Linked DNA regions of Drosophila melanogaster. The protein of the gene in region 2 interacts with the protein of the main gene of each other region in a biochemical or structural test. Each region holds a gene or a part of one and is shown on either strand. Other genes may lie near its edges.

The links. Proteins that work in one complex are often made in the same cells at the same time.
Region 1: the proteins of Su(dx) (region 2) and pyd form a complex in vitro, tested with the Drosophila melanogaster proteins (one study listed by BioGRID).

What each region holds. Positions count from the first base shown.
Region 1 is NT_033777.3:8,861,349-8,867,272, forward strand, and holds the start of pyd (polychaetoid), read right to left. Parts: upstream 3,001-5,924; 5' UTR 2,894-3,000; intron 2,186-2,893; exon of another isoform or gene 2,154-2,185; intron 1,658-2,153; exon of another isoform or gene 1,646-1,657; 5' UTR 1,435-1,645; coding exon 715-1,434; intron 605-714; exon of another isoform or gene 532-604; intron 1-531.
Region 2 is NT_033779.5:2,034,547-2,044,447, reverse strand, and holds Su(dx) (suppressor of deltex), read right to left. Parts: upstream 6,735-9,901; 5' UTR 6,224-6,734; intron 5,921-6,223; exon of another isoform or gene 5,807-5,920; intron 4,716-5,806; exon of another isoform or gene 4,644-4,715; intron 4,519-4,643; 5' UTR 4,457-4,518; coding exon 4,294-4,456; intron 4,232-4,293; coding exon 4,089-4,231; intron 4,027-4,088; coding exon 2,875-4,026; intron 2,802-2,874; coding exon 1,879-2,801; intron 1,796-1,878; coding exon 1,597-1,795; intron 1,535-1,596; coding exon 1,265-1,534; 3' UTR 76-1,264; downstream 1-75. Other genes in the region: lectin-22C, read left to right, coding at 7,201-7,992; CG42296 (uncharacterized protein), read left to right, coding at 8,512-8,566, 8,884-9,901.

The DNA of each region.
Region 1 (5,924 bases), on a different chromosome or scaffold from region 2:
AATTTTAATTTTTGCGCAGACGCACCCCAGGGGCGGTAGGCTTCACTGCCTCCATTCTGGACACTGCAGACAAGCCACGAGTGATGACTGATGATGACCTGGCGGAACGAGCCACACTACCTCCATACATACATCCACGAATGTAATTAAGGTGGCCAAATGGAAAAAAAAGGTGCCACAGCGACAATTGAAAGTGTTGCAACGCGAGTTGACAAATTTCGATGTTGCCCAAGAGCAATGCAATGCGGTGATTGATGGCTGAGGTGGTGGTATTCAATGGCGTAAAGAATTTTAATATTAGGAAATCAAGGAATTTCCCTTAAATATATATATTCTATCTGAGGGGTAAAATAACCAACTTTAAGTCCTGTCATAAAGATTTTTATATTTACTGTTTTTAACGTAGAGTTCTAGATTTATAATCTCAAATGAGGTATTCGGATAAAAAACGATTTAGCAACTGTTAACGGTGAACTAAATTATTTGTAAAGCCCGTCTTTATGTTAGTCATATTTTTCAGAGTTGCCAACTGACCGTGTGGCCTAATGGATAAGGCGTCGGACTTCGGATCCGAAGATTGCAGGTTCGAGTCCTGTCACGGTCGTAAAATTAACTTTTTTCTTTTGTATCCAGAATTTTTTTTATTTATTTTATGAAAATGAGATTTGAGGGCATTTGGTTGCATTTATCACACTTTGTAAGTCTGTATCTCACCTTCTTGAAGCGCCTTCGCTGCGATGAGGAGTGCGTCGATGCAGTTTCGAGCAGATTGCTGTTGTTATCCCCCCCATCCCTTTTGCCCAGTGCCTGGAGAAGATCGTCAACGTTGCGTATATAGGGGCGATCTCGATCCCCGCCGCGTTCCCTTTCCTTTTCGCCACCCCCTCCACCGCCGCCCATGCAGCTGGTTATGCTCCGATTGCCCACACTATTGCTACGCGATCGGGATCTGGTCTTTTGCTTGCCCAGCCAGTAAACCTGATTTGCCAAATTTATTTCGGCGGCTGCCGCAGCCTTTCTTCTGCCCAATTGTTGTTGCTCCTGCACCTGTTGATGCTGCTGCTGCTGTTGTTGCTGCTGCTGCTGTTGTTCACTGGCCAGATATTCGCCGGCTATATGAACCTTGGGTGCACTAACCAACTGCAGGCCAGTGGCGCCGAATTGCTGAGGGAATTCGTGCAACTCGAGGGGGAAACGGGGATCCATGGTCTGACCCGGTTGACGCGGGTACATATAGCCATCGCGTAGAAACATCTTGCTGGTGGTATAGACCCTATCCGCGATTTGGTACACTCCACTCGAGCCGGGACCCTCGGCGCCGCCAATAATTCCATTTCGGACATAGGCTGTCGGGCGATAGCGAACGAGTGGGTTATATACATTCGATTTGGGGGGTTTCGTTTTGAAACTGCGACGTCGCGTGCTGGGCTTCATATTTTTGTTGTATTTAATTTTCGTTTTTGTTCGTTTGTATTTGCACCCCGCGATAACAGAATGTTTGCTCTACAGAAAATCCACCCTTGTGCTGTAGGTTGCTTGCACACGTATCAAATGTTTTCGAGTTTAAGCGTGCTTGGAACAAGCGACCGTGTGGCCTAATGGATAAGGCGTCGGACTTCGGATCCGAAGATTGCAGGTTCGAGTCCTGTCACGGTCGAAACCAAAGTATTATTTTTTTTTTGTGAGAAACTTATGTTTTGTTCTTTAAAAAATTCAATTTGTTGCAAACTAAAACCATAAAATAAATCAACAAAAACAACAAAAATTTTAAGGTTCACTTGGCTAATTTTACATAAAATCTACACTGTCTTTAGACTGACGATAGAATGTTTTATGATTACATGTAAAATTAGATCACGCAAAATTATATTTTTTTCCTTTGGAAATATATAAAAAAAAAAAAAATAAAACCAGATTAGTGTTTCAAGGGTGTTGAGTTAATTTAGAGACTTTTTGTTCTTTTTCAAATGTAATTTTCGACCGCGTAAAAGTATGCTATAGATATGGTTGAATTATTTTTCATGGCGTTCTTGTTTAACAGCGCACAAAAGCAGGCAACATTTGTGTTTTTAAAAACGCCTGAGAGAGGCCAATAAAAAAGAGATAAACCCTATAAACTATATTGAAAATAACCGATTTTTTAAGGGTTTTACGCGACCAACACGTTCGGCACACTGCACGTTCGATTTTCCACTGCAATTGTTTGATTTTATTGCAACAACTTTTTCTGCTTTTCTGTTGTTTGCTGGAAGGCACGCACTGCCAATCCAATTAGCCGGGGTTCACCTTTCGAGCCGTCGTCTTTGCGCAAGGTAAATTGTTTTTCGAACCCAAAGTATTGACACAGTTTGCGAGTCACTTGTTTTGTTAGACACATTCGTCTTCCTGAACTGTCAACCGAGCTGTCATATGGATGAGACAGAATGGAGAATAGAGAGAAAGAGAGCCATGCTAATCTGTCAACTCTGAGTTCGTTAATTAAAGACTGATTTGGCAAATAATTGTGGCTTAGCCCTGATCGACCCCAATACCAATTTACAAGCTCAAAACATTGCAAAAACTCAAAGGTACCCCGATTGGGTCAATGAATGTGCGGTCTATTGAACTTTTGATAGTATTATTGACGCCCCTTTTTCACTTAATGATTGCGAATTGAGTTCAGCCGTCGGAAAATACTTTCAAGGTTATCTTACAGGGATCATAAATATAATATCCAAATTTATAGTTAAAAACTAAGTGGAAAAGATGTGGCCAAATATAAATCCCTCTGTCTAAGTGCACATTTTTCTTGTTTAATATATTCAAATTTTCCCTTTCTTTTATCACTTCTGTCACTCCACTTAATTCAATGGCCCTTCTCAGTTTCAATCTGTCAACTTCCTATTATTTCCACCTTATCTGTTTGAGGTTTGTCTTTCTAACACTTCCGCCTACGAAAATCGTTTATTTTTGGTGTGGATTTCTTTTCGTTTCAATCGCGACGAGGCTCAAATACGAACTAAACTGAAATGAATTCAATGAATTTGAAGAGCCTATCGGACACGAGAACATTTTCCAATGGATAGCGTTTCCAGCCGGAGAAGAATACAAGAACAAAAGTGATTGCGATAAAGCTTGGACTGAGCTGAGCAGAGCCCAAGTGAAATGAGACGAAATGAGGGGCTTAAGCCAAACAAATACACCCCTTAAAAGCGTAAATTGTGAAATGGGGCAGATGTTTGGGGGAAAAAACCAAGAATGAAAAGGTTTGAACGATGAACCTCGAGCTATTTTAAAACCACACCCAAATATTTAATACATATCAATCAAGTTCTATGATGTTATGACAAAAAATGGTTTGAGAAACTCTATTTTGTTTTAAGAGGCTCCAAAAGATTTTTATGTTTCTAATTCCATGGAAATACGTATATTTTCTTTGCATAAATCATTGTACTTACAAAGAATTCATCTTCGATGACGGGATCGGCCAGCATCTCAATGGCCTCCGTCATGGATCTGCAGGTGCGATTCGTGTTCTTCTTCTTCTTGAGCTTCCGGCCCAAGGTGGCGGCATCGCTGAAGCGATGAAGCAGTTTGTCCCTCTTCCGGACCGCCAGCGGACTGGTCGTCGAACTGGCGTGACATAACAGCGATCCGTAGCCATTCGTAGAGGATATGGTGCCAGTATTAGCGTAGAAATTCTGCGGTTGATATTGCGCCGGAGCAGTGAGTGTGCTGTTCGAGTCGATTTTCTGTATGAGATTGTACTCGGATTGGGGATATTTGCTGGCCAAATGCGATACAGAATCCGCTTTGGAACCCAATTGCGGCTTGGGTGGCGGCGGTGGCGGTGGATCCTTCATCAAGGCCACCCGACGGGGGGCGGCGCGGGGTATGGTGGCCGAATGGGGGGAGGAGGTGGCGTCACCGCCATAACTAACAGCGCGACGATTGCGATCGTTTTCCTTTTCCCTGAAAGGAAATTTAAATTTAATTTATTAGAATTTTCAATGTATGTTTTACTTGATAATAATAGAACTAAATATGTTTTAAGTACTAAACACAATGTAAATCTACCTATAACGCCTCCTCTGCATCGGTGGACTAAAGAAGAAGTTGGGCGACAGGGGTACAAAGTAACCCCATTGGGGATCTCGATTCGGTCCCTCATGATACATGCCCAACTGGGGCGTCATCTCCCTGGATCGACTGGATCTGAGAATGGGCATGGAAACCCTCTGTGGTCCGAAACTTCTATTAGAGCGATACCGATTCCTATACATATGACGCTCCAGTGAAGATGTGGTGGTCGTAGCATCCGATTCCAGGGTGCAATCCGAATGATCCTTGTTCTCCAGGGTCACATTACTGCCCAGCTCATCGTCATTATCATCATCATCATCCGTGGAACACTCGGGCACCGTATAGCAGGCATAGTCGAATTGCGACATTGTAGAATCGTTTTTCTTATGTCTTTATTTGTTTGGCTTTTCGTTTGCACACACATTTAGTTCTTTGTCATTGTGTCTTTGCGACTCCCACGTAAAATGTTTCAATTATTTAATTAGTCTGCAACTTGTTGCTGTTTTTTATTTGAGTGCTTTACTTTTATTTTTACCTGACAAATGTTAAATGACATTTTCAGTTGGTCTGGCACTTAATTGCTCCACTAGAGTTTGGTCATGTCTTGGATATTTTCTGGTGGCAAAAGAACATTATTTAAGGCATTTATCATGTTCACCCTCTGGACAATTGTGCTTCCCGCCAGAAAAAAATTTCAGGGGTTGTGTATGTCCAGTGGGCACAATTAAAAGTCGTTTTCGGCCTCTGTTGAAAAGTTCGCCTAATGAGGTGTTGAACGGAAGACGTTCTAGTTATGATACTTAACTTGGCCACGACTTTTTACAGACAATTTACTACGGTCCGAAACACAAAAGAAATCAGTGGGAAAGCTAAAAGGGCATTTAACCGAAAGTATTTCATAATTGTTAAGTAAAATGTTCTTTTAGGAATCTTATTGTTAATTTACTATATCTGTATGTATGCACGAAAGGCAAATTTAACTTTGCGGCCTGGCTAGCTAGTAAATTTGCAGACTAAACGTTCATTATTCATTAATGGGGTGAAAAAGGAAAGTGTCAACAGTGAAATCCATCAACATTGCAATTAAAATGTCAAACAAGGAAGTGACTGAGTGGCAGACTCCCGTTTAACCCGCACTTCCTATATACCAAACCAACCCCCCACTAAAAAACGAACTCCACATTATACAGAAACTCTCTATAAAGAGGCTCCATCCATCCATAATGATGATGCAAAAAGTGATCCCCGAGGGGAAAATGTGTAACTGGAGAGTCCAATTGCAGAATTCACAGACAACGACACTCCGGATATGAAGATTACAACGGATTTGGGTTGCCACTCCCGCTGTTGTTTATATTTATTTTATTGTTGCAATTATTTTCCTCTTTACAGCATAGAATTGCATATTAAACGTGATTAATGACAAACGAGAGAAATGGGGGAAAACAGCCGGATGGATAGGCGCGTAGTATAAAATGATGTATAATTTTTGATTGCGCAAAGGAAAATTAGCATATGAGGCGCCTGTGTTTATGGAAATGGTGAAATCAGTCAGAAAAAGGGGAGCAAATCATTTGCATGGCTGGTCGCCAATTCTAAAAAATGTTTCAAATTATTTATAGATAATTGTTGAAAGCAATTATCCTTATTATTTCATTTTTTATTATTTATATTTATTTCTGTTACTTTTTATTTCAATATTTAAATATTTTTCATTGCTTATTTGTTTATGGCGAGTCCATTGTCCACACTGCTCACTGATTTGCTCGCGTAAATCATTCTAAAAATACTTTGATTGGGTCAGCGAATTTCCCAGTAATTTTCAAAACATATCCCAATTTTTCTGTACTATATCATTTACA
Region 2 (9,901 bases):
CCGACTAAGCGAAAAGCAACCGCAAATGTCGACACAGCAACGCCAAGTATCAAGTATTTCATCCATCGGCCGTGTATCACTAAATAATTTTGCATTTATTTTATATAATACAGTACACATTGCATTAAACTAAATAAAATCTATTTAATATATATATATATATTTAATATGTACTCGTACACAATCAACCCTATATACGCCGCACCTCCTAATCATCCGATTTGTCTTAGTCCGCACTTTTGTGTAGCGTAGTTAATATACGAATCGCCTTTAGTTTTGTTAACAATTATTGCTATTTGAATTCATTATTGGTTTAAGTGTATTCTCGTGTTTGTCGTTTAAAATCCTAACGTATTTTGTTTGTTTGTTTGCGGTGTTTCAAGTTCTCACTTCTCACGATGTCTGCGTCGTTAGTGTGGATATACATATTTAAAATATAGTTTCTATTTAAAGTTCTGTGTATGCTCGATAAACAATTGAACAGCTAAAACAGTTTGCCAGTACACCAAACTCAGCTCGTCAACAATTCGAATTCGGTCGAGTAAACTATTTACAGTGGAGCGTATCAATATAAATTCACCAATTGTGGTTAAAAACATGCAAGCCGGGGCTCGTTGTACAATTGAACTAGAAGCAATCAGAGTGCAATCTTATGGCGAAAACGTAACATTTAGTTGCGATTGCTAGACAGTTTGATGTGATCCAAACGGATGGATGCCCTAAGCAAGCCCAAGTTCAAATTTGAATATATTCTGGGAATGGCGGTGCTTAAGTTCTTAAAGGCTTAGCTGAAGCTAAACGGTAGGTGGTTTTATTTATCGGCGTAAAACAAGGATCCAAAGAAATGTATGACAATTACATTTGAAGATAGATGGTCGTAAGAAATATCAACAGAAGCGAATCAATCAAACTTTGTCTTAAATTTACACAGGAGAGTTATGCAGTGGATAAATTATGCCTAACAAATTATAAATATCTCTAAAATAGGCTCTCAATACATTCATACATAGATTGTTCTCAAGTTTCGTGCACTTTTAACAAATATCTCGTGTGATATCGGTTGCGAACATAGGAATAGACAGACAGAAGTGTGTGTTTCGTGTTTACAGTATACAGTAGTAATACATACGTATGTAATAATAATAATAACAGTAACTATTTAACGCAACGTGGTCGTCAAATGGAAAGGGGGAGGGGACGGTAAAGCAGGCGCTTAACTGGAATTAAACATTAATCAACAAACCGACCACAAATCGACTGCCACTCATTCCTGGCAGAAGCCCTCAGTCTCCTCGATGGCAAAGGTCAGCTTCTCCACCAGCTGATCGTAGCTCTTGTACGGCGGCAGGTCCAATCGATTGAAGCAGGTGTGCGAGCGCGGCAGCCACGTCTCCTTGCCCACCTTCTCGATGCAGAAGCGCTGCGGCCCGTTGGAGCCCATCAGCTCGGCGAATCCTCCGACCGGCACGCGACACGTGCCCGTCACAAACTGCAGCAGGCGAGCTCGCTTCTCGTTATCCGTCTCGCGAACAAACTGTGGAGCCAATTATCCGGATTAGCGAATGGAAAGGGCACAAAGAACACAAAGGAACCCACCTGCCAGAACCAGACAACTTGCTTGGAGTTGCGGTTGTAGTGCCTGTAGATGGTGTTGCGCTGCCAGTCCTCCACGTCCACGTCCTGCATGCCGCACAGAATAAGCTCCAGCTCGCGCTCGTCAAAGTACTTGAGCCATTCCAGGGGCACCACCTCATTGAAGCCTTCCAGGAACGTCTTTGTCTGCTGCTCAATGCCACTGCAATAGGAATCAGTTAATACCGAGTCAAAAATGACACCCATATTGACAACATATTGTCGTTTATCAAGTAAAATGCATACCGTGTCATCCGCCACTCCGTCATGAGGGTGATGTACTCCTCCTTGTTCTCCTCCGTGACGCGCTCCTTTTCCCCGTTCTCCTTCAACTCATGATGGATTATCTGACCGAGCACTTCGAAGTCCACGCTAAACCAGAGCTCCAATCCACACTCATCGATGTTGTTATCTTTTACCCAGATAAGTGAGTTGTAGAACTCCGGATCGATCGTTTCGATGTCCTTGATGGTCAACTTCTTGTTCAGCATGCGCTTGTAAAATGGCATTGTGAATCCACTGTAGATAAACCTTCCATGATACAGGGCCATCGCAATAAAGCGACCGATGAACTTGAAGTACTGCAGGTGATCGGGGTTCACGTACGAGGCGGGATTTATCTGCAGGCTGTAGTTGTTCTTGTTCGCGTACTCAAACAAGCAGTACATGGGATTCAGAACCTCGTGGGAGAGCAAGAAGAACCACTCGCGAGATACACCACCATAATCCAGTCCCTCCTCGCCGCGGAATATGATATAGAGCCGCCTTCGCAGTTCGTAGGCTGGCAGACGCATGATCTGGTGGTATGAATCCTCGAACAGGGTTTGTCGCGTCACCGTGATCTTGATGTGCGATGGCAAAGCGTTGCTCTGGCACAAGTACCGGAACTGCGACAGCTTCCAGCGGAAGCTGCGTTCGTAGGCGCGTGGCACTCCGTACACTCCCTTGGCGCCCTTCGGAGCACCGGGTCGAGGATCTTCGAAGGTGGTTCGTCTCGTGTTGTGATCTACGAAGAAGCGCTCACCGGCGGCTGTATAGCGGATTTCCCAGCCGGGTGGAAGCGGGCCCTCGTTGATCAAGCTCACCTCCTGGCCCTGCGTGCGTGGATCCTCCCACTGGGTGGTTCGGTTCTTGTGGTTAACAAAGTACACTCTGTTGTCCGATTGGATCTGCGTAAGGATTAAGTAAATAAAGGAACGAGTTAAAATAAATACTTTTTCTAATCTAGACAAACGGCTTTACCTTCTTCTCCCAGCCATCTGGTAGTGGACCCAGTGCATCCTCGTCGTCCTGCGTCACCTGGGCTGTCACCGCCGTTGGTTGCTGCTGCTGCTGGGAGTACAGGTATCGCTGGTTGCCTTGAGACACGACGTGGGCCCGCTGACCCTGCCAGTGCTGGAAGTGCATCAGACGCTCACTGTTCGGCCGCTGCCAGGTAGTTTTTCTTGTGTTGTGGTCTACGTAGTAAACTCGACCGCGCCCATCCTTCCTGATCTCCCAGCCCGGGGGCAGCGGTGTCGGTTTCTCCCAGTATGTGGATCGTGTATTGTGATCTACGTAGTATCTGCGACCGTACTGGTCCAGACGGATTTCCCACCCTGCAGGCAGCGGCTCATCATCCGCTGGTTGTGTCTGCAGTTGCGGATCTGTGCTTTGGCTCACGGGCAGTCCAACTCCTGGCTGTTCAATTGGTGGGCCTGCTACTCCAGGTGGTCCTACTGCTGCTCCTCCTCCAGCTGGCAAATAAACAGCAGCTGGTTGTGTATTCTCTGGCAGCGCTCCGTACACTTGGGTTAGAGGACGAGCTAGTGCGGGAGCTGGTGGCTGCTGAGGATACGGAGCTGTCTGCGGCACGGCCGCCCCACTGCCATTGACCATTCTCAGGGGCTGCTGTTGATTCTGGGATTGCTGCTGTTGCTGTTCCCACACCGGGGGCGCCTGCGTAGATCTCCTGTGATCTCCACCTCCATTCGGCAGAGGAGAGCGGGTCTCTCCGCCGTTGCTATTTCCACTGCTCGAGCGTAGTCGCATCCGTGCCCGTACTCCACCGTAAATCATGCAACTTCGTCCGGCGGCCGCATCACTGACCACCGACGGATTGACCGCCTGGACGGGTGGATTGCCATTCTGTTGGCCAGCCACTGGCTGAATCTGCAGCTTGCTCATATCGAGTTTGAGGCCATTGAGGATGGCCACTAGTTCGCCGCTCTTCGTCTGGCGATTGTCCGACTTGCTGGTGACGAACAGGTCGATGGTCAGCTCAAGGAACTCGCACCGCCCATTGTAGTGCTGCAGAATGTGCGCCAGGTTGATGATCCGCTCTCCAAGCATGGCATCTTTACGGAAACTGGAGTGATCCAGCACTTTGAAGTGCAGCGTTGAATTGGGTGTAATCTAGAGACGATAGATCCCGTGGATATTACAAATAATTGACTTTTATTACTGTTTCTACTCACCAGCACTGTGAACTCCTCGTTCCACTTGGGCAAATAGCTGTTCTTCACCAGGTCCGTTTTCCGCTTGCTTTTGCTGTCAATCAAGAGCTCCACGTAGGGATTTGGCTTGAGGAAGCCATTGTTGCGCAGCGAAGCCTCCTCGACTGAAAGGATTTGGGGCCATTATTGATTGAACAGAATGTTTCACTTTCTTTTGTTTGCTCACTTGTCACGCTTAATTGATGATATCCTTGATTGGCACTCCCACTGGCCCCCGCCCCCGAGCTGGAGGTGGGCGTGGGGCTGGCGGATCCCGCTCCATTCACTGTCTGCCCGGCTTCCATGCCGCCGGAAGCTGCACCCGCTGGCAGCCCATTTCCATCGGCCATTTAGTGGCTGAGTGTGTGAGTGCTCCTGGTGCTCCGCCTCCTCCTCCGCCTTATATTCCTCCCTTTGAGTGAAGAGAAAGCCAGTATTGAGCACGCTGCTATTGAATATTGGTGGTGGAAAGTATCGAATGGGGGGAAATTGCGTGTTCTGGACTGATAAGATAAGTCCGGAACACGGTCTACATACGTAAATGGTTTATCAATACCCAAAAATGTACAATGCTGTTGAACAGGAAGCTTTTATAGAGTGGAAATAACTATCCGAATAAAAGTGTTGTACACACTTTTGCTAGGTTTACAGATTACCAACAGGCCTTTATGGGAACCCTGAGTGATTTACTAAGCACTTTTTAGGTGTTATGCAGTTTTCCTTAGTCGCTTTAAGCTCTCGACTACTTATACACCTGATCTTAGAAGGCAGATAATGCCAGCTCTATATCATTATGAAAGCGACTATCCGCAGATAAGATATGGCCTGTATAGCTTTGTGTATTATATAGTGTGTAAACGACAGTATGGCAACAAAACTGTTTGCGAATAGGCCTTCACTTTTTTGGTGAAATAAACTGCTCGAACAAATTGTGAGCTGTAAAATCGGCGCTAATGTATGTACAGTGCAACTCGGTCATATATGAAAGATAAAAATTATGCTATTTCAAGCGAAATTAATCATGACCAAACTGGGTAAACAGTTTATTAAAAAACTGAGTAATGTTTCTGATCCCAAAATATATTCTTTGACTAAGTGAGGCTAGAGTTCTAAATTATTGAAAGAAACTTGTATTACTATAGAAATTCCCCCAAATAAATATATAAATGCACTGATAAGTGCACTTGATTTCGTGGACTTTAAACTACTGGGAAGCACCGTATTATCGCCTATTAATTTTCTCCATAATTTGCGACTGCCACGGCTGTGTGCGTGTGTGTTTCCCTGTACTTTTTCGTACACACTCAGCACCGATTGCTGGTCATCCATAACTTTGATAGCAAACACCCCGCTACACAATAGATTGTATAATAATGTTGCCATGTGAGTCATCGGCTCAACGCGAAAAAGAAAACGGCAAGTGAATTCGGTTTCAATTGTTGAATGGCTATTGCATATTGATTGTGTGCAGGAAGCAACATGGCCGATATGGCGATACACAAGCCCACAAATAAGTTATTTTGTTATATATCGTCAGAACTGAAATCTCAATGCTTTAATGACTTCTTCGCTTTGCTTATCGGCATGCTGATAACTACCATGATTTTCTCGCTGTGTACCGTTCGCGATTTCTCTTTTGCTAGCGTTTTCACTACATTAATTAACCGAGAACACGTGAGCAAGTGCAGCTTGTTGTTTACCATTAGTGTCTACTCATCAGATTCTGTGACCGGATTGAAATCGATTTGGAAGGGCTTTGCATGGATCTGAATGGGACACAGTTCTCCGATCAATTAGCACGCACTTTCCGGCTCATTTCGCCTATCATTCGAGCGCTTATCAGTGGGCCGATGAACAAAGGGAAGCTATCTGGTGGGGCAGCCGGAGCGCGAGCCAAGCGAAGTAATCAGCAACAGCTGTCAATAAGCCTAGAATGCACTTCTCGCTCGATGGATGGGGAGGGGTGGTGGAGGGAGGGGAACTTGAACTTCCTTGAATTATCGACCGCAGGGCTTAGTCACCCACACAGCGCCACTATGCTACAGTACACACATATATATGTGTAGATATATATTTATTCGTGGTCATGTAACGCACGCCAGAAAGAAGGTAACTACCTCTCCCACTCCCACTCCTTCTGTGGGTGGGCGTGTGTGTGTTTGTGTGTGTGCGCTTGTAATTGAGGCAAAGGTCGCGACTTCCGTCCCGCTCGCACTCGCTGCCGCCGCTCTACCGCTGGCGAATTCCAATGCAAGAGGCGTTCCTTTTTGTTTTTAGCAATTTCTGGGGGTTTCTCCTCCTCCGTTTTCCTTTCCTTTCTACCTGTGTCTTACCTTCTGCTGCTTCTTCTTCTGCCTCTGGTGCTCCTACAACTTGCGCCTGTGTGTGTGGTTGTTGTCTCCTGTGTGCGGCTGCATGTGCGAGTGTGTGTGCGGGATTCTTAACTGGGTTTCCCGGGCCCCAAAATTGATGGCTGGATTATTGCACTAGTTGGCGCTGCCGCCCTCGCTTTGGTCCACGTAATCGCGAGCAGTTGATATCGCTGCACTAATTGTTTATTTGTTATTTTGCTTCGCTTGCAAGCAGCAATTTCTAGAGCTGCAACTTTGGACGATGTTTTTCGATACAACTGATGTGGCCACTCAGTGCGCGAATCGATAGGTTGAATTCAATTGGCGAGGCTTGTTATGCACGCTAGACTGGGTTGGCGTACTCGCTATATTGCCAACTTACATGTTCAACCAGAGTTGCCGTACAAGCTCAAAATGGAGTAGCCAACCAGATTTGAAAATGACCGCGAATAGGAATTAGGAATAAAAATAAGAACGTATTGCCCGTAGTCACAACAAAACAAAGGTAAATAATTAGCCAAAAAGTTATGCACCAGCTAGTACTTCTGGCCCCTCTGATTTTATTGGAATCTAAGCTTATTACTCCATATAAATTAGAAGCCCCCTGAATATTCATTACTCAGTTGCGTTGCTCATTGAATTTCTTTAAATGTTATTTAATTTTGTGGTGCTATTGAATAAATATAAAAGCGCGGATTCAGTTCATCGAATAACATAGTGTTTGGCAGTAAAAAGTGCTTACAATGCTAAAATCCGCAAGTGCTTTGCTATGTGGTCTTCTTGCTTTAAATTTGTATGGAGCTTGGGCAGAATCCGATGTGATTTGTCCTTTAAAGGACCCTCCTAGTCAATGTGGAGGATTCTGTCTGGGTGTACTTACGCCCGTGTTAAATCACCTGACCATTTCCCAAAATCTGGCGAATTCCAATAATTCAAGCAAGGCTAACGAGGTCCTGGTGAGACAGTACACGATGGAAGGCCAACTGACTGCTCTGCAGAATAAGCAACTAAGCATTGAAGTCGCACTGGATGCCCAAGGCAGAAAACTGAATGTTAACGAACAGAACTTTACTGAACGACTGAATTGCATGGAAGGCATACTGTCGGCCCTGGAGAAAACAGTCCTTGAAGTAAAAACCAAAATAAAATACCTCGGATTCGAGCAAATCGGCTCAAAGTACTATTACATAGAGAAAGTATCCGAGAAGAACTGGTCCACTGCTTCAAAAACTTGTCGCAATATGGGAGGGCACCTGGCCGACATTAAGGACGAGGCAGATCTAGCCGCCATCAAGGCGAATCTCAAGGAGGACACGCATTACTGGCTGGGAATCAATGACTTGGACCACGAGGGAAAATTCTTGTCCATGCCCACGGGCAAGCAGACTACCTTTTTGAAATGGGCCTCGGGGAGACCCTCTCAGTTGGACACCCTCAACTGCGTGTTCCTATACAACGGGGAAATGTACGATTACCCATGCCACTATACTTTCCGGTTCATTTGCCAGACCGAGGAGGAAGATTTAAATGTATGATTTAAATAGAAACCACATGAGAATAATAAAACCTTTGCTGATGCCGTAACACCTGTGATTTTTTATTCAATCCCTCAAGCCTTCATTAGCTTATCTCTATTACTCACTTTATGGTTACTAAATTTACCAGTTTCACGTTATATTGCACTTTTAGACAAACAAACTGCGCACAAAAAGTGAAATTTCCTTGATTCTCCGATCTTTCCAGTAGCACAAAAACTATTTGTTTAAACAATTATTAGCACTCGTTTTAAATACGAGCACTGAGAGCGGAGAGTCCAAGAAAATTCGTCGTATACCATGTTGTTTGTTCGCTTTCGGACTTTTTCACACATTGTCAAGAGTTTCAGAGAACGCGGCTCAAAGTGAAAATTATCAAAATTTAATGTGCCGACCGCTCCGCATCCGCAGTCATTCGTATCGCGGGCTTCGAACGGAGCAGATCGGAACTTACGGCTACGGACTTCGCACTACGGTCGGGAAGGATTACGCGAAGAGGATACGCGAAAAGGATACGCGATGAGGCAGCTGCTGGTTTACGCGTTGGTCGCGGGCTTGTTTTACTTTTCCGAAGGTAAACTCCACCAGCAAGTGTATTGTGCCAGATTTAAATCAGTTTTGGTTTTCCTACTTTCAAAGGAAAGTGTTCATGAATTCATAAACGTAATTCACTGAAGTATCCTAAAAAATAAAAAATGCCTTGAAATGAATAGTTACAATTATTACAAGAAAGTGAATAGCACCTTCCATTGCTTTAAAAATATGTACAAAATGAAACCATGTAGGAAAACCAAAACTTATTATTCGGAAATCTCCGCTAAAGTCGAAGTGCTTTTCCCATGTTAATGTGAACATTACTCCTTTTCCCATTTCCGCACTGGCTTAACGCAGGCAAGCCGTGCCCCGAAAAGACACGCCCCCACAAAACCCGCTGCGACGCCTTCTACAAGTGCCGGGAACTGCCCTCCAACTCGCACGTTTGGATTCCGGTGAAGTGCAACGAGGGATTGGTGTTCGAGTCCAGTTTGGGCAGCTGCGTTCTGCCTGGCGAGGATTGGGAGTGCATCACCCCGAGTGAGATGAGCTCCACGCAGTCGCCACCTGGGAGGCCGGACGCGGACATACTGATAGTCAACGACATGGACGAGGCGGGTCTGCTTTTGAGCGACTCCAGTCACAAGGACGATGGCACCGTGGAAATAATTCTAGACTCCACACTGAGCAGTGAGGAGAATGAGGTTAATGAGGAGGCGGCCAAGAGCAAGCCGCAGCCGGAGGAGGACTTCTCTTCCAATCACAACTTCGACTCGAGCGGCGATGGGGAGCTGGTGGAACTGGATTCCCCCGCTGGTCTGAAGCCCGAGAACCGCGAGGAGGTGACTTCCAGCAGCATGGAGCACAGAACAGAGGTGGAAAAGCTAAGAACGGAACTTAAACAGGTGGCTGGTATCAGCGAAATAGCCAAGCCGGGATCGCCCATCGATCCCAGCCTGACTGCTCACCTGCAGAGATTGTCCCAACTGATTGATGGACTGCAGCAGACCTACCAGAAGACAGATAAACCTCAGACGGAAATGCGACCAGACCAGTTGAATGCTTTTCTGGCGCACTTTGACATCAAGAACCGGTATGAGATGATGAACCCCATGGAGCAGACCTCTTCCACAATCACCACCACCACCAGTACCACAGAAGCACCCAAAATAAAGCCAAGGCTACCGGAACCCACCTCGAATAAGACCCGCCTGCAGGAGCACCTGAGCCACCATCGCCTGGAACCGGAGACGAAACTAATGCTCAGCAATGCCGTGCCCTACTCCTCGCATGGAACCACCGGGCAGGGATATGCCAACTCTCAGATAGTGGTGAATCGCCCCGAAGGCTCTGTGATGTTTGCCCTGCCGCCCAA